Linked DNA regions of Tamandua tetradactyla. The protein of the gene in region 1 interacts with the protein of each later gene in a biochemical or structural test. Links are inferred from orthologs where the notes say so. Each region holds a gene or a part of one and is shown in the gene's direction. Other genes may lie near its edges. The genes, in order: KLKB1 and KNG1.

What was found.
Region 2: the proteins of KLKB1 (region 1) and KNG1 form a complex in vitro, tested with the Homo sapiens proteins (4 studies listed by BioGRID). The link is inferred for Tamandua tetradactyla from reciprocal best matches to the Homo sapiens genes KLKB1 and KNG1.

Annotation. Positions count from the first base shown.
Region 1 is NC_135352.1:26,244,709-26,260,143, reverse strand, and holds the start of KLKB1 (plasma kallikrein), read left to right. Parts: upstream 1-7,939; 5' UTR 7,940-8,025; intron 8,026-8,635; 5' UTR 8,636-8,636; coding exon 8,637-8,694; intron 8,695-14,405; coding exon 14,406-14,568; intron 14,569-15,435. UniProt on the Homo sapiens protein: Participates in the surface-dependent activation of blood coagulation. Activates, in a reciprocal reaction, coagulation factor XII/F12 after binding to negatively charged surfaces.
Region 2 is NC_135336.1:5,692,279-5,708,466, forward strand, and holds the start of KNG1 (kininogen-1), read left to right. Parts: upstream 1-7,529; 5' UTR 7,530-7,708; coding exon 7,709-7,903; intron 7,904-10,403; coding exon 10,404-10,514; intron 10,515-12,467; coding exon 12,468-12,552; intron 12,553-16,188. Other genes in the region: HRG (histidine-rich glycoprotein), read left to right, coding at 1-103, 1,096-1,176, 2,031-2,132, 3,768-4,481. UniProt on the Homo sapiens protein: Kininogens are inhibitors of thiol proteases.

The DNA of each region.
Region 1 (15,435 bases):
AAAACATTTCTTAATGTTACCTTCTGTTTTCACATCTTCATTTGGCCCCACAATAATTTGTGATATATGTTTTCATTGATAATTCATTTAAATCATGTCAAAATTAGACTTGAAATATTATGTCATGTTCTGCAGTATCAACATGCAGATGCTGATTTTTTTTTAAATAAGAGGAGGGATGAAATACCTATTTGTATACCTTATTACCTATCCTATTCTTGCTTGAAAGACGTATCTCGAGAAAAATAAAGAGATTTTACACATGGGTGCTGCATCTTATTTTAAGAATCAATGTCAGTTTGAAACATCTTGATAACTTGAAAAGATAAATTAGTGGGTGGCTGATGTCTAATGAGTAATGAAAGAAACAACATTTTAGAGTTTATGTCTTTGGTGACACGAGGTTTCTGATAAACTGTTCCTTATGTTATTGTCAAAGACTGATTTCAAGTTTCCACGAATCTGAATAATAAATAAGAGGCGGAATAGAAACATCACAGCAGTTTGCTCAGCTGATAGCAAAATATGAACTCGCCTAGGGTTTCCTGGGAATCAGTAAAAACCACAGGCATCCTTGGGATCCAGGTATTTGCAGTTGGGAAACCTCTCCAGGTGGCAGACTATTGAGTTGGTGCCCCAATCCCTGGCATAGACAATTGAAGAATGTCAGTTTTAAACCAACTGATGTGATTCACAATTAAGAGGTGCTAGTCAGAAAAAGAGCCTTATCTCTCATGTTTTTATCTAGAAGATCAAAATGTCTTCTTTCCAGCATCTAGTGGGATCACTGTGGCAGATACATTTTTTAAATTCCTGATCTGCCTAGAAAACCTCCCCACTCTTTCTAGGAAGAGCATCCTCATTTTTTAAATGATTGCATTCTAAATTCTCCCTTTTCTCCTAGTCTCCTCACCCCTTGCTTCCTCAGCACATACACACTGAATGTAAGCGGAGATAAAAGGTTTCTAGGGTGATTCCTCCCCTTTTGCTGTAAGTTGATGAATTCCAGCAGAGGCAAATAAGAGTTCTCCCTTTACCTTTTTCCAGCTGATATTGAGTAAGGGGCAGTTAAAATCCTTTGGAGGACACTTCAGGTTTGTGAGGCTTTGGATCAATTGGCAGGAGACGCTCTGGAGCAGCTGCTAGGAGTCGGAATGAAGCTGATAAGAAGCAGCAGAAGTAAGAACTGGAGAAAATCCTGGAGGGGTTTCAGTCCCATGTTCCAGGTGATTCTGAGGGCCAGCTCCTTCTTGCCCATTTTACTGTTAACTTCCTAATGTTGAATCCCTACCTTGGGATCCATTTTACTTAGTTTGGTTGAAGTCCATGGTCTTTCACTTTTACCTAAAAGCAGCTCAACGTTGGTTATGTTTGCTGTGGGATGAAAAAGGGACCCCATTCTTTGGGTATGACCTCATGTCTTCACACTCTTCTCTTTGTGTTCTGCAGTCACTCTCCTTCAGGTTGGAGCATCAACACAGAACATATGTCTTCTAGTTATGGAAATGCAACAGAGCTTGAGTAAGTGCAATGCTATGGTCTTTCATAAATGAAAGAATAGTAAAGGTACAGTGCTTCATTTTAGAACCTAGTAGTGCAACCTAGCACATCAGTCTAGTTTCTCAGCTCCAACCTGTTATATCACTAGACTGATTAGTCTGTTTTTCCTGTGCTACTTTGACCAAGCTCTGCTTGGTTTTTCTTTTGTTTAGCTGTATTGAAAATTGTAGAAAAATATCTCTTGTCTGTAGTTACCCACAGTGTACTGGTGACATTATTTCTGCAGTTTCTTATCTAAAGAGATCCATCAAATGGGTTATTTATTTATTTTGGGCAAATTCAGGGTTTAAATTATCTCCCAGTCTTTAGCTGTTCTTATTCCTGATGTTCTGGTCCTAAAAAGGACATACCAAGGCACTTCGTTTCTCCTTCCGACCATTGTCTTATCATCAGTTTCAATGCGGTTCACATTTACTGAGCTCTTCCCTTCTTAATACTTCTCAACTTAGGTTTCATGGGAAGGTTTTCTGAATAACGACCTTATGATACATTTTTCTGTCCTTCAAAAGGGTCATATAGACAGGAAAAATCTGTCACAATATTTAGATGTGATCAAGTGTCTTATTTTTATAAGTTTTAAGTATTTTAAATGCCATAAATAGTTAAGGTATATGATGTATCGTCATGATAAAAGATATGTAGGCGCAGAAGAAAAGCCTACTGGGCACTCCTGGGAATGGGACTTAACTCTTTTTTACTTGCATCCTTTGCCTCCTTTCTTACTAAAGTCACTCCCAAGTTTTCAGTTTTGGGCTTATGGAAGTACAGTAAATTAAGATGTCTAAATCACTCAGTATAATTAATTTCTTTTTATGGGCACATCATTGTAGGAGTGTGATTGTGCTTTGGTCTTTTCAGTTTTATATGCCTTAATAAATTGTAAACACAATCAACATTGTGAAGCCTGAAAACCAAGATCTAATGACGCAACATTGATGCCGTTGGACAGAATCTCAAGAGAATATCTGTTTCTACCAAAAAACATTCAGTGGAATCACAGCCAACCTGGCTTATTAATCCAACAATCACTTTCAATGCCACCGAAGGCCAGCGCTCATCTTAGTTTGCAAGGGTGATAGTGACTCTCATGTGTGAATTAGATGGTTCCCAACTGTGAATAAAGAGACTATCCTGTCTTCAATCTAGTGTGTTTGAAAATCACATACTTTATAGACAGTGACCCAGTATGAACATATAATTCAATATTCATTTATTTATTTATTCATCATTTCACATATTCATCCCATAAATATATGTCCAGCAGTATTCAGGGCTCTGGAGAAATAAAGCAAACAAACTGAAGTCCCAGCTCTCATTGATGATACCTCTTGCAAAGTAGTAGGAGTATTAGGAGCATAAAAACAATATACAAACCCACAATAGGTTACAGATGTCAGGCAGTGATGAGTATTGTGAGCAAAATTAAAGCCTGATAAATAGACAGGCATAATGGAGCAGACCCTTTTAGATGGGGTATTGAAGAACAGCATTCCAAAGGAGGTGATGTTCGAGCAGAAGCCAGAATGAAATGAGCTGTGTGGGTAGCTGGGAGAGGGGCATTACAGGGAATGGGGCAAGTACAAAGGACTTGAGACTGGAGAATGTTTGATGTGCTCAGAGAACTGCGATTAAACCAATGAGACTGGAGCAAAGTAAAGAGGGGAGAAATTGCGAGGAAACAAAGGCAAAGAATTAGCTCGAGTGTGTGTGTGTGTGTGTAAGGGAGTGGTCTAGACCATGCAGCTTCTTATATTAGAATACTGGGTTTTCTTAAAATATTATTTGGGGTTAACTTCCTGGGGTCCCACTATAATATAAACATACTAACATTACATGTGAATTGTAAGCTTGTAGAGGACAGTGGCAAGATGCTCACCAGTCCCATTTCCTCTTCCTAAATGACAGCAGGACTACATTTCACAGCCTTTCTGACAGTTCAGTATGAGCCAAGGGCCTAAATTCTGCCTATGGAATGTGGGCAAAAGTTCTGACTATGGAATGCAGGCAAAAATTCTGACTACGGAATGCAGGCAAAAGTTCTCGCTATGGAATGCAGACAAAAGCCTGACCATAGAGAGCCCTGTGTGCTTTATCTCTCATTCTGCATTGACTGTGGAGGCCAAATGTTGAAGGTGGTGGCACTGCAAACATGAAAGGAGCTTGGCTCCCTGGATCCCCACTGGAAAAGTCAAGAAGGACAGCCACCCAACCCACATTGGATTGCGATTCTGAGAAAGACAGACACATTTTTTTAGCTGAGTGAAATATTGTGGTGGTTTCTTATAGAATTTGCTAGTATCACTCCAATATGCAGGGCACGTGTAAGAGGTTATCAATTTTAACATCCCATTTTCCCCTTTTAAATATAAAATCATGCTGTTTTATGTGACTTCATACGAGAACACGGAAAATCCAAGATTATTTCTACTCTGCTATTTTCCTCCAGTCTTTTCTGTATTACCCTTCTATTCAGTGATTAAATCCTGTTATTGGGAATGTAAGTACAGGAAGGTGCTAGATAGAAAAATAGGCTGCATTGCTAACGATATTTAAATTTTCTTATTCTTATTTCTTGAATTAAGGGCTAAGTCCTCTATCTTTATTCTCTAATGCTGTCCACAAGGAGCACGCACAATCCTCACAGAGATATCCTCCAGCAGTGCTACAGGAGAGCAGCAGGGAGAGGAGGGAGGAAGCTGTTGCAATAATAGAGGGGAGAAAGGAGGATCGTGGCATGAACAGGGTCACTGTGAAGAGGTTCCCTCACAGTTAAAAGATTTCCTTCATCCTGGTGCTGCTCATTTCCTTCGTGTGTGTGTGTGTGTGTGTGTGTGTGTGTGCGCGCGCGCATGCTGGATGGCAGCGATCACATTCCACTCTTTCCATGTGAGTATCCCGTTATTGCAGCACCATTTGTTGAATTGGTTTTTGTTTGTTTGGGGAGGTGCATGGGCCAGGAATCGAACCTGGGTCTCCTGCATGGCAAGCGAGAATTCTACCACTGAGCTACATTTGCACCCCCTACCCATTTCCTCTGTGGCTGGGTCTCTCCACTTAAGCCCCTGCACAGAAACTGCTGTCAGAAAAAAGTCTCAAGAGTCAGGCAGACTGACTCTGCTCCTTCAGGGTGACATTAAATCAAAATGATACTGCAACTCCTTCACCTCACAATTGTGTTGGTCTCTTTGTGGGTGCTGGTGGGGGTGGGGAGGAGGCACTGTCCTTCGCATGGTCCACTCTGGATCCCAGAGCTGCCTTTTGCTAAATGGGCCACTTTGTGGATCATTCCAGAGCTGCAGCTGGTCTTCATTCCTTCCCTCAACCTCAAGCCATGGGTCTCCATCGCCTGCACAATTATCTAAGAAAAATGTAAACATCAATAAGCACAAGGTTGCTTAGAATAGCATCCCTTAGAGTTGCACAGGGAATGGTCTAACCAATCCTTATGTGGCAGCACTGATAAGATTTTCACTATCAGCCCAGCAGTCTTTTCACTGGATTAGAATTCTTTTCTCACTTACACACACACATACGCAATTCCACTTAGACAAAGTCTTTATGAGTCATAGACTTTATTGAAGGATTGGGGAATAGAAACTTGATGTCTCAGTAATATATATATGTAAAAAAAAAATCCCTCAACCATTTCCAACTGCTTGGGCTCCAGCATTTGGTGGTTTGCTCATGTCCCATGAGCAACTTCCCTCCAGTGTCTTTCAATTCCTTTCAGAGAGTGAGTTGACCCTCCCTTTATTCTGCCCTCTCCTTCCAGAGATTACCTGACCACAAGGACATGATAGCTGGTGTGTTAGGAAATACATTTTTATACCACTATAATCCTCACTGAGGTGCACTGAAGAGGGCAGAAACTGAAATATGACCTTCCTAGGGATACTTAATGTCCTAGCAGAAATCTTTCAAGAATCAAAAGTATATCACCAAAGACTTTCTCAGTGAATGGAAGCTTCTTTTCTTAGTGAGCAGCACAAGGTTGATTTTGTCCCTGTTTCTCTCCTGAGGGCTTATGTATCTCCTGGCCACACTGCAACTTCGTCAGGCAATCAGTCACAGCTGTTTCCTTTTTGGAAACCACAGGTTCTTTTGCAGGTCCCACGGCAGACCACCACTTTGCCTTTGGCCCATCCTCCCCACCCAAGACTCCCAGGGCCTATCAGGGACCCTCCCTCCTTGCCTCAACTCAGAAGTGTCCAGCTCCAAGCCCCCTCACTCTCTCTAGGACATCGTCAGTTCAGATAAGTATTAGCCTCTGTATTAATTTTCTCTTCTGCATAACAAATTACTATAGTCTTAGTGGTTTAAGACATTCATTTATTATCTCACAGTTCTATAGGTCAGAAATTTGGGCAGGCTTCACTGGCTGGTCTGCAAAGGGTGTTTTGTAAACCCCAGATCAAGGTGTGGGCCACACTGGCCTCATTCAAGTGGTTGGTAAAATTTAGTTCTTTGAAGTTGTAGGATTGAAGTCCTGTTTTCTTGCTGGCTGGTGGCCAGGGACATTCTCAGTTCCTGGAGGCTGCTCTCAGGTCCTTGTTCCATAGCCCCCTCCATCTCAAATCCAGCAGTGGAGAGCTTCTCTTGTCGAGAATCTGTCTCATGCTGTAAATGTCTCTGACTTTTCCTTACGCTAATATCCAGAGGGAACTGTCTGCTTTGAGAGGGCTCATGTGATTAGACTAGGCTTGTCTGGATAATCTCCATTTTGATTAGCTCAGCGTCAACTGAATAGGAACCTTAATTAGACCTGCAAAATCCTTTTTGCCATGGAACATAATGCAATCACGGATGTGATAGTTCATCATATTCAGTCTCTGGGATTACTGGGGAAGTATTAGGGAACATTCTAGAATTCTCCTTTCTGCCTCTTTTCGACTTAATTCTGATTCCATTCTCTTAAATGGACAAACACATTTGGGGCTTTATTGTACTACTAGAATATAATTTATATTTCACTACAAGAAAAATTTCAAGTCAAACACGGAAGCATTTAAATAGGCAAAACCCGTAATTTCACCTTTTAGAGAAACACCCTCTGATGGCTTCTACTGTAATCTGGAGGAAGGGTATTTTCATCTTAATCATCTTTTCTCCTGTTGAGGCTGGTAGCAGATGGAATCCAAGGCTTAAATTATTTAAATTATTTTATATTGCACAGAGAAGAGGTTTCTCTTTTGTTGGTAACTGGTACGCCAGTTGATAGCCTAAATCTACAAGGCAGTGCAGTATACATTTTTGAAATACACCTCTTCATTATAACCAGAAAATATTTTATCTGCAAAATTATCCTACATTTCTAGGAAACACAGTTATGTGTTGTAGTAACATGCATAAAATATTTATTGAAGATTCAGCTCCCCCTAAATCTAACTTTACTCCCCAGAATGATGTACCAAATTTCTAAGAGGGGCAAGAAAACAGAGGAGATTTAGTAGGCAAATGATTATAATCTCTAAATATTTAAAAAAGCATAGGAAGAGTCATAAATTATTTTGTGTGGTTCTAGTAGATATATCAAGGACTAAATAATAGTGGCTGCAAGGTGGTATATTTTAGGATAAAGGGAGACTTCTTTAAAACAAATGAAGAGGAAGAAGGAAAAAAAGAATTGGAGTTCCTTAAGCAGGAATGTACTCTTGAAAAACCAGTGATTTCCCTTCAGTGAAGCATCCTGACAGGGAAGGCTAAACTCCACACAATGAGTGGTTTAGCACAGGTTTCTCCAACTTTTTCAGTAAAGGGACAGACGGTAAATATTTTAGGTTTTCAGGCATACAGTCTCTGTTGCAATTATGTGTTTGCAGGGCAAAAGTGGCCATGGACAATCATAAATGAATGGGCATGACTGTGTTCCAATAAAACTTTATTTACAAAAACAAGGGCCAGGCCAGATTTAGTCCATGGGCCATGTTGATCCCTGATGCAGTAGGTTTCCTGAATTGGGTGGGTAGAAGATCTAAACATCAATTAAAATCTCTTCCAAATGAAAAGCTTCAGTGTTATATTATTCTTTGACTTGAGTACAGGAAGGTATAAACGGCATTTACAAAATTTCCCTCCAGGATGAGCTGTTCATACCCACCTTTTATTCAATTGTGCCTCCAGGCAACTCAAATGGAAAAACTCCAAAACAGATAAACTCTAATCTATCCAACCTCAAATAACCGGGATGTAGTGAATATTCCAAAGCGCCGAAACTTGGGCACGAATTGTGTGGCCCTAGGATGAAATAGTTAATCTATTAGAAAAGATTGCTGAGCTCAGCAAAGGGATCATGGAATATTTGAATAGAACAAAATACTGAAACTGTTGGCAGATAATCAATGTCAATATTGGAGCCAGGCAAATATTGTCTGCAGGGACCCATTAGGAAAGCTTGAGGGCAGTCCATTTTTAAGTGGCAAGAAGACATCCTCACCTCCAGAACCACGGAAGCAATTGTGCTTTCAGGTAGAGAATTTCTATTATTCTGATTGCTTTCAAATAAAGTGGTGTTTTTAACTATAATTTTTACAATATGAAGACGCTATTAGTTACATATTCTAATTTCCCAAGTATTTTAGAAGTAGGAGGAATTGGTGTTCTTACATGTGAAAATACTTAGGTGTAAGATATTTTAAAACCAAAGAGAATATTTGACAGATTTTGAAATTAGAAATGGGTTTGAATTTTCTCAGAGCTTTTCTTTACTTAGGCCTTCTGGACTGTGTTATTGCTATTATTTACATTAATTTCATTTTTGCTAAAATCAAGGGGTTTCACAACTATTTACTTTCTCTCTATCCAATTCCCTTTCCAAAATGATTAATGACATGCTGCAATCAGCAACAAATATGATAGTTGTCTAGAGTTTTCCATTTATATCTTCGGAAGCATTCCACGTTTTCCAAGTCCCTGCACAGAAAATAGACAGAAAGCCCTTGTTCTCCATACTGGCGATTGTGTGCTCAGATTTGCAGTTAGGACATTTGTAAGAAAATCTGCACCGCCTTACATTAAGATTCATGTTGAATATGATCCACAACCAGCAGAATTATGCAAATGTTGTTTTCATTTTTAGGATGATTTCATTCTGGCAAGCATCCTATTTCCTTTGCTTATTTGGTACGGTGTCCTGTGGTAAGTAAATGGTCAACAGGGCATAAAGCTAAGGACGTGAAAAAGAAGGGTAGTTAAGATACACCATGCTTAGATGAAACTACTAAACACACAGCTTCAGGGAAGTAGGCAGCCCTGGAAAAGTCAACAGCTCCTACTGCTTCAATGTGTGGAGGCCAGGACCTCTTCCCAGATCTACTGCTGTGGACACGTATCACACACCTGGGCCAGGGGAGCTCCAGAGTTCAGAGTAACATATATGTGCAACCAGAAACTAGCATCTGGAAATAACTCTCTGCAAAGACAATTTCAGTACAATTAGTCCTCTACTTTTTTTTAAATCAACATTCTTTTCTTTTAAAAAAAAAGTCAGCTATACTTGAATATTCAAGAATGCTAGGCATTTTAGAGTGTCTGGCAGTGGGTGCATGGCATATACTTGCACTTTTTTAGGCCACTAGGGAACCAGTTTGGAAATGAAAGTTCTTGACTTAAATTTAACTTAGTAAACCATCCATTTGAAAATCTTTGGCTGGATATATTTCCTCACCAGGATTTGGTCTTATTACTCTCTTTGTCCATTCCATTCATTTTCAGAGAATAAGGATAATTCTGTACATTGCTTTTCACTAGTAATTGCAGAGTGGAGTTTTCTCTGTACGACCACAAGGGGTTAATTCTGAGTCCATGTTGACATAAGATGGCCACAGATGCGATGGCTGTTTAGTTACGATTCAGGTGTATGGCTAAGATGACCCTGTTAGTAAGGTTTATATTTGTAAAGAGATATAATTTCTTCAGGAAGACGCATTTTGAAGCTTTTATTCCTTAATCACAATGCCATCTGTCTCTTCACTCCAAAATGATCTTCTGAATCACAATAATTACAATATAAAAATTTATTGAATACTGAGAAAGAGTAGAAGCCAGAGATACTGTGGACCAGGACCAGAGCCACTTCAATTTTATTCTTTTGGCAAAAAAAAGCTGATCATGATGGGAAAATGCAAATAAGCAGGAAATGAGAAACTGTATATGTGGAGATAGCCATTGTTAAAAATCCTTTGTTTAGTCTTTCACATATTTTTCTATATATGCCTATTACACATTTTAAAAAGATGTTAAATATAGATGTTCTTTTACTCTTATGTACCCCATTATGTCTATCTTTTCATGCACATAAATATATATCACTTTTGGGGTGTTTAGCATTTATTCCTATTCTTGATATTTTTGTATGTGCATTCTCAGACATATATTCATTACTTTTTCTAGAATAACTTTTTGGAAATAAAGGTGTGAATAAAAATATTAGCTACAAAGGTGTGAATATTTTTGGAGGTTTATGAAGGTTTCATGACAGGTATGGATGAAATTATCTTCTAGAAAGTTTATTCCAAAGTTGACTTTTTCCAGCTGCATATATAAAGCACTCATTTTTTAAATTAATTTTTTAATTTTTTTAAAATACCAAAAAAACACCAAACGCAAACATTCTTAACGTTTGATCATTCCGTTCTACATATATAATCAGTAATTCACAATATCATCACATAGTTGCTTATTCATCATCATGATCATTTCTTGGAACATTTGCATCTATTCAGAAAAAGAAATAAAAAGAAAACAGAAAAAAATTCATACATACTATACCCCTTCCTTTCATTGATCACTAGCATTTCAATCTAAATTTATTTTAACATTTGTTTCCTCTATTATTTATTTTTATTCCATATGTTCTACTCGTCTGTTGACAAGGTAGATAAAAGGAGCATCAGACACAAGGTTTCACAATCACACAGTCACATTGTGAAAGCTATATCATTACACAATCATCTTCAAGAAACATGGCTACTGGAACACAGCTCTACATTTTCAGGCAGTTCCCTCCAGCCTCTCCAGTACATCTTGACCAGCAAGGTGATGTCTATTTAATGCATAAGAATAACCTCCAGGATAACCTCTCAACTCTCTTTGGACTGTCAGCCATTGACACTTTATTTTGTCTTATTTCACTCTTCCCCCTTTTGGTCAAGAAGATTTTCTCAATCCCTTGATGCTGAGTCTCAACTCATTCTAGGGGTCATTTATCCATTCTTATGTCAACTTCATAAGATATCTGCTGCTTTGTGCTTGTGGCAGTTTGGAGCCATGTACCATGGAAAAACATGTTCATAATCTTAATCCATTCCTGTGAGGGTGAAACCTTAGAAAAGGACCTTCAGATGAAGTTACTTCAGTTAAGGTGTGGTTGAGATGAATTAGGATGAGATCTTAATCCTTTTACTGAAAGTCTTACAGGAGAAGCCAAGGAGAGAGAGAGAGAGAGAGAGAGAGAGAGAGAGAGAGAGAGAGCAAGCCAGAGGGAGTAGCCAGAGCTGAAAGTTAACAGAACCTGGCAAGGAGAGGCCTCCATGTGCATTGCCATGCAACAGAGAACCCAAGGATCAAGAGCCACCAGCAACCAGTACCAGAACAGTCTTCTGGGCAGAAGCATCACCTTGAAGATGCCTTCATTTTGGACTTCCCCTTGCCTCAAAACCATAAGCCAAAAAATTCCCATTTTTTAAGACAATGAAATACATGGTATTTGTTTAGGCAGCTAGGAAACTAAAACAGTGGTCCACATCATTCACCTCTGGGAAGGTATATTCTAATTTACTTCTAGGGAAACTGCACTGGTCCCAAAGTTTGGGTCCATGTGGTTCTGGTGATGCTTTCTTTGCTTCTGACTCTAGGGCTTGGGACCCAGCCAGGTAGGAACTAGGTAGGGCACACATCCCATAGGCCACAGTGGCCCTATCTGAGCCAAGACTTTGCAATAAGATGTTTGCTTAGATTTCTAGAAATGATATTCAGTGGTTTTCAATTAGGCCTGAACTAAGAGAGAGTGAGAACGTCTAAGCTGCTGGTGCTATCTTGATACCAGGTAGCGCTTGATACAAACAGCCATACAATGGAGTAGAACAAGATGGAGGCCAAGTGGGTCCTGATGGGACTGGCTGAGCATGACACATTTACTCCTGAAGTCAGATGTACCATAAGCTTCATGGCTTCTGAACCAATGAACTTGATTAGGATTTAAGCCATTTGAGCTGGGTTTCCTATTATTGGCAACCAAAATCAGTACATCAACACTGGGTATTTAGACAATTTTTTTATCTGCTATTTTATCAAATAGCATCTAATTGCTTTAATTTGCTTGTATATGAGATATTTGTGATTTTTCTTATACTGTTCTAGTTTGCTAGCTGCCGGAATGCAATATACCAGAAACAGAATGGCTTTTAAAAAGGGGAATTTAATAAGTTGCTAGTTTACAGTTGTAAGGCTGAGAAAATGTCCCAGTTAAAACAAGTCTATAGAAATGTTCAATCAAAGGCATCCAGAGAAAGATAACTTGGTTCAAGAAGGCTGATGAAGTTCAGGGCTTCTCTCTCAAGTGGAAGGGCACATGGTGAACAGTCAAGAGTTCTTTTCTCATCTGGAAAGGCACATGGAAAACACGGTCAGGGTTCCTCTCTCATCTGGAAGGGCACATGGTGAACGTGCCATCATCTGCTAGCTTCTTCTCCTGGCTTCCTGTTTCATGAAGCTCCCCGGGAGGCATTTTCCTTCTTCATCTCCAAAAGTCGCTGGCTGGTGGACTCTGCTTCTTGTGACTATGCCATTCTGCTCTGCTCTCTCTGAATCTCATTCTTCAAAATGTTTCCTCTTTTATAGGACTTCAGAAACTAATCATGACCCACCTAAATGGGTGGAGACATGCCTCCAGCTAATCCAGTTTAACAACTGCTCTCGATTACATCACATCTCCAAGGAGATGATCTACTTACAGTTTCAAACATACAATGCTTAATAAGGATTAGAAGAAATGGCTGCCTTTACAAAATGGGATTAGGATTAAAACATGGCTTTTCTAGGGTACATACATCATTTCAAACCAGCACATATACTTACTAGTCATTTGTATTTATTTTGTAAATTATCTTTCTTATATCCTTAGCCCATTAAAAAAAACCTGATTTCCTTCATATCATTGATCATATACCTTCTTAATAAGAGAGAACAACCTTCCCAAATCCATGATTTGGCCAGTGTGAAAACTGCAAGCCACAACCAGGATAACTTACACAAGAGTGCTTCACATATACTCTAAAGTACATTTCAAGTACAAGACAAAGATCACTGATTTATGAGGATAGACAAAAGAGTACCCATTGGAATTTTTTTCCAGTCACCCCCAAAGCTGGCATCCTTGTGTGTGCTGAATCACGTGGCAGCCCACACAGGCTTGATTGCAGAATGAGAACCCCTTGGCCAGCACCTGCCACTACTTGTGTGTGCATACTTGGAAGGAAGGGCAGAGTGCTTGATAATTATACCTCAGTCGAAAACACCAATTATCTGAAAGAACAAGCTTCTTTCCCGTGACCAAGTCCTCAGTGTTTTGTGTGCATAGAAAATCTAGATGTGCACAATTGGGAACTGGTATTCTGAAGAGAGCTGGGCTCTTTTCAAATATAAAACCTTCCCCAAGGGTGGTCCTCTTAGCCATACCCCTGAGAGGAAGAGGAAAACTCTGCTGTGTTTGGGAGTCACAGTGGGGTTCAAAGCCAGAATCCTGAGACTGGTGGGATTATACAGAGAAACTTTAATCTGCTGTGTTTAATGCTATCTAAGCGTCCTGTTCTCTGGAAGGCAATATAATGACAGTTATTACAAAAATCGGACAGTGACTATTGGCTTGGAGGGGGGATGAGTGATGTCATCATAGGAATATGGGGTGGTTAATAGTCAGTTCACTGACAAAAGTGAATGTGCGATCTGAATTGGAAAGCTTAAGTGGATGCTGAGGTGAGTTTTTCAAGTTAAACCAAACTCATGTATTAAAAAGACTAAAAGTAACACTTAATTCCCTAATACTACGTGGGGTGAGGCACTTCTGAGCTGCGGATAATTCCAAAGAGCAGATAGTTCAAAGTTTATTTTCTTGAATTTGCTTAAAGTACCTAAAAAATGAGCATATAAAAACTGAACATATATAGCCTCCTCTGCAGTTATCTCCAAAGTAATAGATAACCAATAAACATTACTTGCTTAAATTTATCTGAGACTGATGATAGATATTTAACATTGCACAATAGAGAAAGGAAGGAATCTGGGATTAAGAAGTGGGTTCACGCCACAGGGCACTCATTAGCTTTGTGTTGTTGGCCATGCCTGACCCCACTGAGACTCAGTTATTTAACTCTTCTTCCCCCCAAATAAAGTCAGGTGCAGATTTAAAAAGGCTCCAGCTTTCCTTATAGAAATGTGAGAATTTAGTAAGCCTGTTCCTCAGGAAAGTATTTTTAAAAATAGCTCATATATAATTTTTTAAGGCATACAGTCTTCACAGCACATTACCTGACAGGGAGAAATCAAGCTAATATTGTATTTCATTAGGGATAATTTATGTACAAATTATTATATAATTTAGTAAAAATCAAGTTTTTCAGACCGAAGTACCCAGAACGTAACTTTAAGTAACATTACACTTTGTTCAATAGAGCAATAAAAATATATTGCTTTAATATCTTAATTCTATTCATTTCTATAGTCAGGTTGTAAAGTTGGGAATTCAGTGGAAAACGAAGGTTCAGAATGCTGATGGGTTTCTATTAAAATCATCACTTGCATGCATTTCAAATTAATGTTGTTGCTGTTGTTTTTTAATGAATTTACCACAGGGTGCATGACTCAGCTCTATAAAAACACGTTCTTCCGTGGCGGGGATGTAACCTCTGTGTACTCGCCGAGCGCTGAGCACTACCGGACGGCGTGCACGTTCCACCCGACGTGCCTGCTGTTCAGCTTTCTTCCTTCAAGTTCAACTAATGACACCGGGAAAAGGTAAAAGTTGCTGTTTCATCCTTTGAGAAGCCAGTCGTTTTTCAAAATGCGATCAGCTGTGTGCAAAAAAAAGTCATAGCATATTCTAGGGGTCAGGACAGCCTCATCAGAATTGCCTGGAATGGTTCTTGCAAATGCAAGAGTTCTAAGCCCCCCAGCCCAGGCTGACAAATCAAAAAGTCTTGGGGCCTGGAAAGTGGCATTTTATGCAATCGCTGTATTCACTTAAAGTATTAGAAGCAAGTCATTTTCTATCCAAGGCCTCAAGGAAAATGTCCAAAAATCATTACGTGAAGAGGTGGTCTCAAGAAAGACCTCGTCACAGATGAATATTTTGCCCTAATAAGGAAACATACTTACTGGCTCATCCATATCACATTTGCTAGATAGCACACTCTTTAGAAGGCATAACATTAAGACATGCATTCTGTTGAGAATATAAGTGAGATACAGAACTTCTGTCATTGGGAGGGGGCAGGTCTGTACTGGGGCCCTTTTGAGGCCAGTTTGCACCCCTAAAGGAGGTATGTGTGTGTGCATGTTTGGTTGTAAATATCTGTGTATTAACTGGTAGCTTGCGACAGTAGAAAAATAGTTGATAATTAAAAATCTTATTAGGACATGAAGATGCCTAAGCAGAGTCATAGTTTCATCTTGATTTTCTTTAATTATGATTAATATCCAAAGTGAACTTTCCTTGTTCTCCTTTCCATATCCGCAGCTCCTTCCTCTGCACTCTGAGTTTAAGAACTAGCAATTGTATAATCATCTCCTAACCCAACAAGTGAAACTTGTGCAGAAAAACCCAAGCTGTGCCTCAAGGGTACCATGTTAAAGCTGAGTTAGGTTCTAGAATTCTTGCGAATA
Region 2 (16,188 bases), on another chromosome or scaffold:
GCCCTACAGAAAACAAGCTGATGAAGCTCTTGAGAAATACAAAAGAGAGAACAATGATTTCACTTCTTTTAAGGTGGACCAAATGGAGAGAGTTTCAAGGGCGGTGAGTCTCCACTAATGTCCAACTACAGCCTAAGGACCCAGTTACAACCTGACAGGCCCATACTGAGTGGCACCTAGCCCCTCTACCTGCCTCGCTTGGCCAGTGGCATCCTTAGTCAAGGCTCCTCATGCAGCTTTGGGGCTATACTAGACAGGCAACAGACACCAAGGAACTGCCCTCCTGCAAGGTTTTTTGTTTTTGTTTTTGTTTTGGAGAGGGGAGGATATGTGAAGGAGAGGAAGGAAAATCTATAAAAGAAAGAGGGTAAGACAAAAGAGCATATTAGAGTTATGTGAGTCATTGGAAATCATCCAGTCCTAACCTCCTTATATTATGATGGCAAACTGAGGCTCAGAGACACAACCAGTGGTATATTTAGAGGTTGATGATTTCCCTGCCTCCCATCCAGAGTTGTCTTGAACAACAACTGGTTGGTGTGTGTTAAACATTTTACAAATGCAAAGTTAAATAAACTATAGTGCATAAAAACAATGAAATGAATGTACAGTTATTAAAAGAACATTTGTACCTATAGAAAATGGAAAGAGTTAAGACATATTGCTAAGGGGAAAAGCATGTTACATAAGAAAACTTAGACTAGGAGCCCATCTGTATTAAATAATTGGATATATGTGCATATGTGCAGTACATTTATGAAAAGACTAGAAAAAGAAACACATCAAAGGGATGATGATGGCACTTCTGGAAAAGAGAGACAGGATGTAGGAAGGATGATTTTTTTCTTATTTTATTTATCTCTGTATAATTTGAACCTTTTTCAATGAAGTGGTAGTCATTTGATCACTTAACATGATCAAAAAAAAGGTAGACACCATAAGAAAAATGGAACCTGTTGCTGATTTTAAATTTCCATAGTGCTCTACAGTGAATTTGACTGAGGTATCTACTGCTTTTTTGGTACTATTATGTTTTACTATTTCCTGACATTTACTATTATGTTCCTGAAATTGTTTTGACCCAATTCATTTCAGAGAGGAGGAGAAAGAACCGGTTACTATTTGGCCTTTTCCGTGAGGAACTGCTCCAAACACCATTTTCCCAGGCACTTGAATGTGAGTATAATGAAAATCTGTAAAATAATAAGTCACATTTAGAGAGCACTTATTATGAGCTAGGAACACATCTAAGAGGTTTATACATTTGTTAATTTACTTGATCTTCACACAATCCTATGTGAGAAACTATTTTTAATCTGATTTATAGGTAGAGAAACCGAGACTGAGAGCAATTTGGTTAATCATGATAATACGATTTTATAATATATATATAATTATACCTAAACTTAAAAATAAATCATTTAAACCATTAAGATTCACTTAAACTACCAGCCAGCTTGTAATAAAACCATCACATGTGGTTTTTTCATTTGCTTTATCTCATTTATTGCTCACAATGATCGCATTTGACAAATGAGGGGGTAACTGAGCATTCAGCAAAGTAAGGATCTTGCCCAATGTTCACAACAGAGCTGAGATTAGAATCCATTTCTCCTCATGGTCATTCCAGGAAGATCCATCTCAAAGCTGGCTCCCTCCATTCCAATATTTTCCTCCAAGGGGCCAGTTAGTTGTCTGAATCCCTCTTCTACACTGTTCCTCATTGGCTCCAGGCATAGGCAACTCAGGTGCCCCCAAAGCAAGTCAGCACTGTTGTGGTATTCCCCACAGCCTCCTGCAGAGCAGCCCAGTCCTGGTTACTGCTCATGGAAGAGAACCACGGCAACTTATGATGAAACACCTTGGAATGTGCACTTACTGTTAAATAACTGGTGGGAATGTTTGAAATTACCCTTATTTTTCTAAAGCTCTTCTTCCTCACCTGAATGTCTTGAAGTTCATGACTGCAGCTGGACACATTCACACCACCTGCACACACTCATGCTAACAGTTGTCTCTCTCCCTTATAGATCTTTGGATTCTGCAAGGCATTGTTCTTATATAGTACAGAAGCCTCTGACTTGGAAACCCCTGAAAATCTTCTAGTAAACTGTGAAGTCTTCAACCTTGAGGTGGGTTGCTGATCTAGTTTACTAGCTGCCGGAATGCAATACACCAGAGATGGATTGGCTTTTAATAAAAGGGGATTTAATTCCTTAGTTCTTCAGAGAAAAGGCAGCTAGCTTTCCACTGAGGTTCTTTCTTATGTGGGAAGGCACAGGGTGATCTCTGCTGGCCTTCTCTCCAGGCCTCTGGGTTCCAACAACTTTCCCTGGGGTGATTTCTTTCTGCATCTCCAAAGGCCTGGGCTGAGCTGCGAGTGCTAAGATGAGGTATGCTGAGCTGCTTGGGCTACACTACATTGAGCTCTCTCATTTAAGCACCAGCCAATTAAATCAAACATCATTCACTGCAGCAGGCACGCCTCCTAGTCAACTGCAGATGTAATGAGCAACAGATGAGGTTCACGTACCATTGACTTACATCCACAGCAACAGAACTAGGTGCCTTCACCTGGCCAAGTTGACAACTGAATCTAACTACCACAGCTGCCTAAGTAGCCTTTGTCACAAGCAGTGCCAGATTAAGTGGGAATTAATTCTTATGCCTCTATGTGTGTTGGAGGTTGGGGGCTGTTCTCTATTGCAGAGACAGAGTTTTGCCTAATTCCACTGCATGAGTTGTAGTAGATCAATAGAGAAATATGTAACTGGAGAAAGAGGGGAAAGGAAAAGAGAGAGAGAACAGGTCCATGGGGAAAGGAACGTAATTGCTGGCATGACACAAAAACTATGAAAACATTTGTCATGAATTGGGAAAAGTTGAGATTTTGGGCAGAAAAATAAAAGCACGACCCAATTCAGTCAGCCTTGAATCAGCTTGAATATGGAACTTTAGTCAGGATCCCACTGCTGAGACTTGATAATTGTTAGCTTTTATATTAGGCATACAACCTAACCCAAAGGGAGTAAATTGACCTCAATTTTATTATATAAAGGTATATAAAATAAGATGCAACACATAGTTTATATCTGTCTCAGAAAGTTTTGTTCTGTTTTATGGATGAGCACAAAGATGTCCTTCACAGTAATTTAATATTAGCAATAAAAAAAACCCTGAAAATAATTCATATGTTCAAGAATCAAGCCAAAAAGGGGAGGGGGGTACCAGTTCTGTCACCATGAACATGGCTCCATAGATTAAAAACAAACGCCTGAACAAGAAGTGCAGTAAAGAGGCAAAACATGTATCTTTAAGGAGGAAGGGATGCTTATATTAGAAAGCTTTGATCTCTGTTGAGAATATAAATCATAAAGTACTAGCTTCCAAATGTTGTTCTATATAATATAGTTTTGCCACTTTATTTTCAAATGAGGAAAGATGGTAGCAAAGAAAGTTTCTCATAACTCAAACTTTATCCCCATCTAAAGGACCAGCCTTTACTCAGACTATTTATTTCTGACCATTGTGTTGTCAAAATATTATTTCTTTTGTGAACTAATGGTGGTTGTAGATGACAGTTTTTGCCTGTATTTTAAATGCCAACTTGACTTGATAAAATTTTGATGATCTTTTGTTGTTATCCCACTTTTTAAATGGATTTTAGGAATCCAAAAGTCTAGAGCCATTGGTCTAAATCAAGGTAAACATCTAATGTCTCATTTTGTGTGAAATAGTGATATTCATTTTTCTGTGTTCTTTACCAGAAACATAAAAACTTCAGTGGCGGAGACCCTCATTTGGGTGGGCATGAGCATTCTCCTACTGACAATCGCCCATTTAAGCCCAATGGGTCCAGAGAGCACCATCATCCCTACAAGCCACATGAACCTGGATGCCCACCTCCCCTAGAAGATAAAGATCATCCAGATAGACCACCATTTCAAGCAGGAACTTCTCCACCATTGCCCCCTTCAGGGTCAAGATGTCATCATTCCCGTTTTGGCATGAGTAATACCCGTGGACCCTCTCCTAATCATAGTTCCAGTGAGCACCATTCTCACGGGCATCATCCCCATAGACACCGTCCCCATAGACACCGTCCCCATGGACACCATCCCCATGGCCATCATCCCCATAGCCATAATTTCCATGATTATGGACCTTGTGACCCACCAGACCACAGCAAGGGTCCCCATGATCACCATCGCCCACCACCTGAGAACTCAGAAGAAAGAGGTCCAGATAAAAGACACCTTCCCTTCCCTTGGGGATATATTGGTTATGTTTATCGACTCCCCCCGCTGAAGAAAGGTGAAGTTCTTTCTCCTCCAGAAGCCAATTTTCCCAGGTTCTCATCACCAAATCAGAACAAGCCCCGAAAGCCAGAGATTCAGCCCTTTCCTCAGTCGGCTTCTAAATCATGTCCAGGGAAGTTCAAGCAAGAGTTTCCACAAATCTTCAAGTTTTTTGCACAATAGCTCCAAAATAAAATCTGATTTCTTAGATGGAGAAAGATGAGTAATGTCATGAATTAGAAACACAAATAAAATGTGACCAGTAATAAATGCAAAATCACAAGTTATTTTAACCTTACTTTCACACTCAGGCTAGGGGGAAATGTGAGTAGGGAGCAGACTGCTTGAGAAGAGAGAGATAAATGGAAAGAAGAGGAAAGATTTCAGGGCTACAAGAAATCTGTCACATGGCCACATGCAAGAAAGGTTGGGAAAGGAAGTCTAGATGTATGTCAAGGAGGAAAGGGATATGAATTTAGTGACTATCTAGCCAGATACTGTCACAATCATCATTTTTTAGAGAAGGAAAAGGAGGCCCAAAGAGGTTTAATTAGTTGCTTAGGATCTTACAGTTGGTAGATTGTGAGACTTGGCCTTCCTCCAAAGCCACATTCTTTCCTTTTCATCCCACTGCCTGTACACACTGCCATGCCCTGAGTTTTGAGTTTTCATTTGTAAAACCACCGTTCAGCCTTGACTAGTTCTTCCTACCTCCTCCTGAACCAGGTACTCCCAGTTATTGCCTCACTCTTCCAGCTTCACCTGTTTCCTTCTCTGATGGCTCATCCTTCCTCTCAGCCTAAGAACTTGACCGAGTCTCATTCACTCTTAATTTTTTACAATCTATTTTCTTCTATCACCCTGAGTCTGAAACTGTCTCACGTCTCTCACCATGCACCTGAAACCACTTTAGTAAAATGTGCTATTGTTAACCAGCCCACTCTCACAGTGATAAAACTTGTAAGAACTAATTACCAGGCCCTGCATGGATGCTACCATATCCACTCTTCCAAAACAAAACAAAACAAAATTATAGTATGATTTTCTAACTTTTACAGATGAAGCAACTGAGGCTTGGAAAGGTTATGGGCCCCTGAGTTGCTCGTGGCCACACAGCAATTAGGTAGCCCAGCTACACGGAAACCCAGGTTGGATTTACTGGCAAAAGCTTGTTCCTACTGCTCTGTCACAGAGCCACCATTCAGCCCACACTGAGCCCTCTTTTCCAAAGGCTCTCAGGGAGACGGAATTACCGAAGTACTGTTGTTTGTAAGCTGCCACAATGCAATATACCAGAATTGGAATGACTTTTAGAAAGGGGAATTTAATAAAGTACAAGTTTACAGTTCTAAGAAAGTGAAAGTGTCCAAATTAAGGCACCAACAAGAGGTTATTTTCATTCAAGGAAGGCCAATGGGTCTGAAACAGCTCTGTCAGCTGGGTAATCATGGGGCTGGCATCTGCTGGTCCCTTGCTCCTGGGCTCCGTTGCTTTCAGCCTCTGTTTCTGTGGGGGTCTTCACTTTACTTCTCCAGGACTGGTTTTCATCTCATGGCTTCCCTTAGCTCTCTCCAGGTTCTGGCTTGCTTAACATCTTATGGCAACGTCTGATGGGCTCCAAGCATCTCCAAACATCTGTGTCTCTGTCCTCCACACATCCACATCTGTGTCAGCTCTGCTATGAAGTTTCTGTCACCTCTGAGGTGTCTGTTGTTTCTCTAGACAATGTAATTTAAAAGGTTTCACCAAAATGTTTCCCATTTAAAAGGATTCCAGTAAACTAATCAAGACCCACTTGAAATGGGTGGAGTCACACCTCCATCTAATCAAAAGTTAACACCCACAATTGGGTGTGTTCCATCTCCATGGAAATAATCTAAGCAAAAGATTCCAACCTACAATATTAAATCAGGATTAAAAGAAATGGCTGCGTCCACAAGATGGCATCAGGATTAAAACATGGCTTTTCTGGGGTACATAATGTTTTCAAACCAGTACAAGTACCAAGCTAGAAATCCTGTCCATAACAGGAAAGAACCCAACTGTCTTTTTATTTTATTTTACTTTTGTAAGGATTGAGGACAAGCATCTACCAAGAGCTAACCCAAGTCTTTAAACCTATCTACAGACCTCCTCTCTCTAGATAGTCTAACTTTATCAAATAGGTGGTGTGTTAGTTTCTTGGGCTGGTGTAACAAAGTACCCCAAACTAGTGACATAAAACACCAGAAACTTATTGTCACAAGTTCTGGGGGTTAGTAATCCAAAATCAAGGTGTAGGCAGGGCTATGCTCCCTCCAAAACCTGTAAGGAAGAATCTTTCCATGCCTCTTCCTAGCTTCTGGTAGCTTGCGAGCAAGCCTTGAGGTTCCATCTCTGTCTCAGTGTTCACAAAGCCTTCTCCCCCAACTGTCTCTGGCTCCTCTTCCCTTCTTATAAAGATCCCAGTCATATTGGATTAGGCCCCATTCTAATCTAGTTTGGCCTCATCTTACCTAATCATGTTTTTAAGACCTGTTTCCAAATAAGGTGGGACCTGGGGTTAGGACTTGATTATGTCTTTGGAGGGGGACACAATTCAACTCATCACAGGTTGTTTAGGCCTGGTGGGTAAGACAACCATATCCATGAGAACAGAAACAAAAAGCAAGCTGGAGCAGGCAGGATGTCATCAAACCTATCTGCACATATGCATCCCCTCTACCTCTTCCACTGGGGGAGCATTTTTCCCTTGCAGAATTAACACAATTGAGTGGAAAGAGGCTGGCGTGGCCAGAAACCAGATAGGATGCTTATACTTTATTTTCAGCCACACCAAGTTCTTGGTGAGGGACTCCCAGCACTCATTTGTTACCTCTGTGTATTGGCTTCCAAGGCATGCAATATGATCAATATGATTCAGCCTGCTTCTATGCAGATATCCTACAAAGAAATTTTATGTGAAAGTTGTGACTATACATCGTACACATTGTAACATTGTTCTTACATGCAGTGACCTTTGTAAATGGCTTTGGGAAAGTCATAAGAAAATAACAGAGCTGGTAGTGGGTTTTTTCCACCTCCTTTATTAGATACTCTTTTGATTTGCTAAAGTACTTTGTGCAATCACCTGGAAATATGCTCTGTGCTAACCTGTGCTTTCAGAATGCAAACAAGCAGGTCAGCGACCCCAGTGTTGTAATGTTTCAGCTCAAAATCTGTTTGGATAACCCAGCACAGCTGTTTAACCTTTTGGAATAGGGCAACCGTGTGTGCCCCAAGAGTCCAATCAGGCCTCCAGGGTGCTGGAGCAGAGCTAGAGAAAAGGACAGAGGAGAGAAGGAGTTGGAGATTGTAAAATCAGCACCCAAGCTGGCTGCAGATTCTTGGTGAAGGCACCCCTCAGCAACTAGAGGGGAGACCATTAAGTCATGAAATTAATTGTTATCATTTTCTTCTGCTCCAGGCTGCTACCAAGTCTGACTCAGGAATCCTCCTCACAGGAAGTTGACTGCAATGACGAGGATGTATTTAAGGCTGCGGATGCTGCCCTGAAGAAATACAATGATGAAAGCCAAAGTGGCAACCAGTTCGTATTGTACCGTGTATTTGAAGTCACCAAGATGGTAAGTGAGCTGTGTCTAACTTTGAGGTCATTTGGGACCTGGACTATCACTTGGGTCCTAGTTCTCTGCCTCCTAACTTCCCTCCCAAGAACTATCAGAGGTAGACTCTTACAACTCTTAGAAATGCATAATGCCACTCTCTGGCCTGGATGTGGCACGGTATGACTCGCTCTCAGGCCACCAGATTTGGCTGCTTGGGTGAGCAGAGAAGCTGTAAAAGCAGGGAAGTGAACAAAGACAGAGCATATGGATGGGATTAAACCAAGTGGGAGAATCCAGGAACTCAGTTGGGCCACAAGAGGATTCGTTGTATCTCTGACCCAAAACTAAAATCTAAAGACCTCCAGGTCTCAGTTGGGGAGGGAGCACTTTAGGACTCCTTAAAGAAGTGTCAGAAGGGAGATTAACATGTTTTACTGCTTTGGTCAAGATATCTCCATGAAGTCTGTATGGTTGACTGTATTAAATTAAACAGCAATGTTTTAGTTGGGCTTTGATTTTTTTTTTTTTTTATCACTGCCTTGATGATAGATTTTCACATAGAAGAAAATCCAGATAGGCTGAAACAAAGAAATACAAGTCTTTCAAGAGATTTTTATTTTTAAATAAGTTTCCCTATAAAAAGCTGTGTCTCTGGAATGGTAAAGCAATTGGTCACTACAGTGAGAAAAGAAAAACAACTCAACTTTTTGAAGAAAACAGCAGTGAATGTGTTTTTCTCTGAAAATAAAAGTAAAAATGACCCTTCAGTCTTCTTGGTGCGCTCAAGCTGCAGTTTAGTGGTTTTGTCTTTGCTCTCCAACATCATTGGCCAATGTGGTTTGTTGTTCTGAAATGTCCACATCATAACCTCTCTATCTTTAATTTGCCACGTGGGCACAGCCTGTACAACTACCACCCTAGTTTAGGGCGTATTTTCCAAGTAGATAGTTATAACTTTCAGTATTTTGAATGAACCTTTTGCTGTCATTAAATCAAATTATCAAAATCTGGAAGGAACCTTAGAGAACATGCTGTTTGACTCCATCCTCTCCTAGCTCCATCTTCTCCTAGCTATAAATACTGTGACCAAGCAGGCCCCAAGAAAGCACTGCTTGGGGTCAGGAGACCTGAGCTCTCTGCCTTTCCAGCCTTATGAAGGTAACTGAGACATGCCCTGTCTGCGCATGTCCTTCTTTCATTTGCAAAAGGAGGGGCTGGAGAATGTTACCTCTCAGATCCCTTGTAGCTCTAACATGCCAGGATTTTGCATCTGAAAGCTCATCTAAATCAGTACCTTAGTAGTTTAAAACTTTAAAGAATTATTTTATGACATCCTAGCAAAATTAGAAAACAAAGCTAATTAAATGCTAAAATCACCTATGCATAATTCCACCCTCCAGAGATACCTGCTACATTTTTAAATATTTATTTATTTATTAATTTAAAAAAAATTAAGAACAAACAAAAACATTAACATTAAATCATTCCGTTCTCTATATATAATCAGTAATTCTCAATATCATCACATAGTTGCATATTCATCATTTCTTAGAACATTTGCATCAATTCAGAAAAAGAAATAAAACGATAACAGAAAAAAAAAAAGATCATACATACCATACCCCTTCCCCCTCGCTTTCATTTATCACCCGCATTTCAAACTAAATTTATTTTAATATTTGTTTCCCCTATTATTTATTTTTATTCCATATGTTCTACTCGTCTGTTGACATGGTAGATAAAAGGAGCATCAGACACAAGGTTTTCACAATCACACAGTCACATTGTGACAGCTGTATCATTATTCAATCATCCTCAAGAAACATGGCTACTGGAACACAGCTCTACATTTTCAGGCAGTTCCCTCCAGCCTCTCCACTACATCTTGAATAACAAGATGATATCTACTTAATGTGTAAGAATAACCTCCAGAATAATGCGTAAGAATAACCTCTGGACTCTGTTTGGAATCTCTCAGCCATTGACACTTTGTCTCATTTCACTCCTCCCTCTTTTGGTCAAGAAGGTTTTCTCAATCCCTTGATGCTGAGTCTCACCTGCTACATTTTGTAAATGAAAAAATGATCTCTTTTTTGTTTTGTTTTTTTCCTATTGTAAAAGTAATTGCTTGTTTTTTTTAATGTCAGACAATACAGAAAGGTTTGTTTAAAAAAGAAAGTGAAAGGCAATTGTAATCCCACAGCTGAGAGACATTTAAACAGCTTGATGTATATACTTCCAGACCTGTTTTAGACATGCATGTACATATAAATCGGTTTTTACAAAAATATGCTAACATTATAGATACTTATTTGTAATCTTTGAAAAACATATTTATCAATATATTGTGAATATTTTCCAAGTAGATAGTTATAACTTTCAGTATTTTGAAAGAACCCTTTGCTGTCATTAAATCAAATCAAGATCGAATATTCTTGACTACATCAGATCTCACTCAAATTATTTGCTTTAGGGGCAGTTGTATGAACATTACATCTCTTTGGCTTCTTTCTTTCAGGATGCTCCCGACACATTTTATTCCTTGAAGTATCAAATCAAGGAAGGCGATTGTCCTGTTAAAAGTGGCAAGACGTGGCAGGACTGTGACTACAATCAAGCTGCAGGAGCTGTAAGTTTGTTGACGACTCCCAAGCCTCCAGTTTATTGACAGATTTTTTCACTTGTACAGAGAATGATTAATATTTTTATGCCAGCTTATGAGGGATGCACCCTCAACTGTGTAGGAAAGAACAGTATTTCATATCTATGTTCTTCCATAGACAGAAAGAGTATAGAGAGACCACCATTTAAGCATGGAGGAAACTTTCTCATCAGAAGGGGACTTGAATGACCTACTGGGGTATGTGCAGGTCCCAGAGAGACAACTGATCAATATTTGTGAAGAGCTCCAGGGCTGGCAGGGACAGAGTGTGGGTCTGTTCCCTTCAGCCCAAGTCTGAATCCTAACTCTGCCTGTGCTAGCTGTGTGACAGTGGGTTGGTGCGACCACTGTACAGACAGTATTGACCTGATCAGGTTGCTGGAGGATGAAATGACATAAACTGTGCATAAAACCTGCTTTTCCATGCCGAAATTTTTATTTGGAAGTTATTCAAACTTACAGAAAAGTCACAAGAATAGTTCAAAGAATTCTCAAAACACTTCATTGGGTTTCATCAATTGTTAACAGTTTGACATATTTGCTTTAGCTCTCTATATATGTACCTATTTTTTTTTTTGGAATCATTTGAAAATATATTGCAGACATGCCCGTTTATTTCTAAATATTTTTAGTGTGTATTTTTTAAGAACAAAGAGTTTCATTTTCATTGCAACAGTATAACTGTCAATATCAGAAAGTATAACAATGATTCAGCACCGTAATCTACTGACATTTTTCAAGTTTTGCCAATTATTTCATTAATCATTTATAGCAATTTTCCTTATTCTGGTCTAAGATAGTCCAGGACCATGTCTTGCATTTAATTTTCGTGTCTCAGTCTTTGTTGGGAAATTTCCTCAGCCTTTCTTTGGCTTTGATGACATTGACATTTTTGAAGGATCTTATTTGAAAAACAATGCCTAACATTTGCCCACCACACTATAGCAGCTTTTATATATTTATTTATTTATTTAGAAATCTTCACACACATGCCTTCTATCCACAGTATAGAATCAATAGCTCACAGTATCATCACATAGTTGTATATTCATCACCATGATCATTTTTAGAACATTTGCATCACTCCAGAAAAAGAAATAAAAAGAAAAAAGCATTAATTTTTTCTTAGCGTTAGGTGTGTTTGGCATTTACTCTTCATGACAAACCCGCAAGATAGATGTGACGTTTCTCCCACACAAATGAGTAAACCAAGCCTTAGAGAGGCAAAGGGGCTGGGCGAAGGTAACACGGTGAGCAAGTGGCAGAGCTGGGCCTGCACAGCACTTTTTTTTTTTTTAAGTAATCATTCGTGAGCCAGTGATACTCCGTATCTATGACCTCAATTTTTTTTTTTTTTTTACTATTTTGATAGTATTTATTTATTTATTTATTTATTTATTACATGGGCAGGCACTGGGAATTGAACCCGGGTCCTCTGGCATGACAGGCAAGCATTCTTGCCTGCTGAGCCACTGCGGCCCACTCTGGACAGCACTTTTTTGTCTCCACGTTCCCTGCTCTTTCTAATAATTGAAACTAAAGTTTATGCAAATGTAATTAATCCCCTGAAATTCAAGGGTGAGTCAAGAGGAGCACTTAGGCTGTTTCTAAGGCATTACATTTACCTTGGTGAAAAACAAACATTTCCGGGGCTCAAACAAAGATTGAAAACCACATCCTTTATACTACCTCTCCTCTGATTTCTCACATTTATTGGTGGCTTAAAAAAATAATCATTTGGCTACAAAAACATTCATTCTTGCGTGTCAACTCTCTGTCAGAAAAATCTTCACAAGTCAAAAAAAAAAGGAAAGTCATATTGACTGACAGCACTAGGCAGACTGCTGCATCTGAAAGACTGAAATGAATGGCCTCTCTTTTTTATGCCTCCCTCTACCCCCCCTTTTTTTTTCTCTTTAGTCCACAGGTGAATGCACAGCCATAGTGTGGAAGAGAGAGAATCAGAAATTCAATGTGAATCAGCAGACCTGCCACATCACTCCAGGTAGCTCATGTCTCCTGGGGCACTGCCCAGAGGGGAAATAACCATTCCTGCATGCCAGAGTCCAGGCTAGCCTGGGAGCCTGCCTTCTCTCCTCGGGGGTGGCATTAGCACTGCCAGGTGCAGCTCTGGGGTGAGCCAGTGCGTAGCTCTAGGGTGAGCCAGGGCGTGAGTGGTGCCAGGCTCATCCCATCATCCCCTCAGCGTCATTTCCCAACTCTCTTCCGATGAATCATTGTGTTATTAGTGGGTGGAATTGTAGGCAGCATCCCATAGAGAGAGAGAAGCATAGGTCTGAGATCAAAACTGGCCTGAAATCCTTCAAACCTCTTCACCGTCTTGGATCTCCTCTTCCTTTTCTATAGAAGAGGGATAACAGTAATTTGCACTTCACAGGAGTGTTGTGAGACTGAAATGAGATAATGGCCCTGAAGGGAGAACGCCTAGCAATCATAATAATGAATTAGAGAGAATAATGATGGAAGTAATCATAGCTAACACTTCAGCAATGTGCCAAGCACTTTACATGAATTAACATGTTTAATCCTGGCAACAACTTTATGAAGTAGATATTAATATCCCCATTTTACAGGTAAGGAAACTGAGGCCCAGAGTAATTAAGTAACCTGCCCAAGATTCCACAGCTAGTAGGTAGTAGAACTGGAATGGTACTCCCTCAGTACATGAAATTCCTTAAGAATACAATCATGGAGCAACTTTTTGACAAATATTAACACTTCAACACCTGCCCTAATGTGGCAGAAGTGCCAAGTGCAGAAAAATGGCCCTACCTAGGTGATGTCAGTCACTGAAGCCTTCCTGGTTCCGTCCTCTGGGTTTTATGGCTGAGGCTATGAAGCAGTATCTCCAGACCTCACCGAAGTGGCAGCTGTTCTGTACTGGATTTAGTCATTCATCTGTAAGCCACAAAAACTCATATCGCTCGAGGCTCCAGTTCTTGCAAGAAGTTGCATTACAACAGAAAAGAAATCACAAGTAATTAAAATGTTTAACTTTTAAAATCTCTCTAGCATTGTTGGGGTATGGTGGAAAATCATTCCATCACCCAGAAAAACTGAGTTTACACCTCTCCCCACTCCCTTCACCCTCGAAATCTACGCAGCAAAGGCTACTCCATCTCTTCTCTTACCTTCATTCAACCTTCTAGATAAGAGCCGGCCACGTGGGTACATAGGTGCGTCAGTGGTAGAACGTTTGCCTTCCACGCAGAGGCTCAGGTTCAAGTCCTGGGCCCCACCCCCGATTGTCTGGTCTTGACTCTACCTTCCCTTTCATCTTAGATGTTTCTCCTTTTTTGTTTCTCCTTTCATCACTAATTTTCTCACCTCTTTCATGTAACTCCTCTTCAGTTGTTTAACTTTACCTGTTTCCCTGATTCAACATCACTTTCTGCGAGAAGGAGAGGAGGGGAGAAAAGTGATGAATAGTCGCCAGTAAAATTGTTTTTCCTGAAACATACTTATGGAAGGAAAGAAAGAAACAGTTGTAATGGGAGTTGTGCGGACCAGCTGACGCCTGAGGGACAGCCTTGAGGGTGCCACTGGCCTCCTGATTGTGTTGGGGCTACGGGCGCAGTGTCGGGGCCACCACCCACTGGGCGAGGAAGTCTCCCCCTCCCAGTGTGTCCCACACTCACCTTTAGCTACTCCCCCCTTTCTATAGCATTTGTCTCCATTCGTCAGGAGGTGAGGGTGCTTACGTACATAACTTGGTAATTTAATACAAACTCGTTTTTAAATATTTGCATCATTTTATTAAAAACCCTTTTGTGGCTCCCCATTCTCAGAGCAAACCATTGTTAACTTACTTGAGCAAACCTATGAACGCAGTAAAACTGTGTGGGAAACACTGTATGTACATTGTCCTGGGGAGGGAGACTTAGTTTTTCTCAGAATTGACAAGGAGTCTATGACCCTTCAAAATACTTAACCACTGGCCCAGACAAGGACACAACCTACAGTTCGGACCTCAGTTTACCTGTCCCTGTCTCACACTTAGACTGTGGTAAAAGGCAGGCTATATATAATTCCTTATATAACCACGTCCCACATCTCTGTGCCTCCCCTTGTCCACCTTTCTCAGGGTGCCATCATTCCTTCTCCTCTCACACCTCATTTGCCCGGTGAACCCTCCTCATTCTCTTCAGCTTGACCATTTCTTCAGCAAAGTCTTGAACTCTTGCCTTTCCAAGCTCTTGGTGAGTTGTAGAATTATATTTAATTCATCTATCTACATGTGTGCCTCTCCCACCTGACTGCCATCTCCTTCAGCACTGAGCATTACTGATGTGTTAATATAACCCTGCCTCCTAGCTCAGCACCGGGCATAGAGTTGGCTCAAAATACATGTCTGTTGAGCTGAGTTGATACAAAATGTATTAAGCCCTGAACCAGCCTTTAAGGAGCTTTGGCACTTGAAACTAATAAACTATCTACAGTGTTTTAATTTTTTTATTAGAGGATAAATTTGTTTGTTCTACAATTAAAAATGACTTCAACTCTTTAGCTATTGTAACAGAAACTGAGAAGCTGCTACTTGGGCATAATCAAAGGAAGGAAGTGAGTAGGGGCTGATGTTCACTGTAGGAGGAAAGGGAGTGGTGAGGGAAAATGTCAGAGCTCCTGCTACTTTCCCTGGCAGGAACGCAGTTTAGCCCTAGGCCAGTTTTAGGGCCTCTGAGGAACCTTTCTGCAAAGCCAGCTCGACTAAGCCCCAGACGCCCTTGAACTGCCTGTCCGGAAGAGCTGCTCAAGTCCATTTTGTCACAGCCTTCCTTAGGAAGCAGTTGTGACAGTCGCCCTAATAACAGGTCTGGCCCAAATGCCGTTCACTCCTTATTCTTCCAGCTCTTTCCTCCAAAACTTCCGCAGACACCTATGTCCTTTGCAGATCTGCCACATCAGGAGTGGCCTTCTTGACTCACAGCATAGGGCTGAGGAGGGAGGCCGCAGTGGTCACTCCCCTGAGTGCCTCCCTCCGCACTGGCTCCTCCAGCAGCCCCGAGGGAAAGCCATGCGCGCCCACCGGCTGCTTTTCTCCTGGGAGTCCTTTGTCCGGGTAGAACGTGTCCTCCCACCCTGGTCTGCCCTTTTGGCAAGGCTCTTCTCTACTGCCTGCTAGAAGCTGCATGGAAGAGATCCCTACCCCCAACTGTGCTTTGTAAAAGAGAGCAGGGAAAGGGCATAAACAAAGACAGACTTGCAGTTTATTATTATTATTATCATTTTGTATGCTGTTTGGTGGGGTCACATTTCATTCTTTTCCACGTGAGTACCCTGTTACTGCAGCACCATCTGTTGACTATTGGGGGGGGTGCGGGGGTGGACTACACAGCTGGGGAATTGAACCCAGATCTCCTCATACTACCCTTGCACCACTATTTGTTTTAAATAAATATACTTTACATTTTAAAAAGTGACTTCAAAATAATTTTTAAATTGCAGTGCAACAATATGGTGCCTATAAGTTGTTCCTGAGTGACATGTTTTTTTTTTCCTCTGACTAAAATGCAGTCTTGTGTTCTCTGGTTATTCAAATTACATTCTATGATTTACCAGAAAGTTTGTTTTTCAGGGCCCATTTTGTCTTATCTGCCAAGGGGTATATCTGAATGCTGGA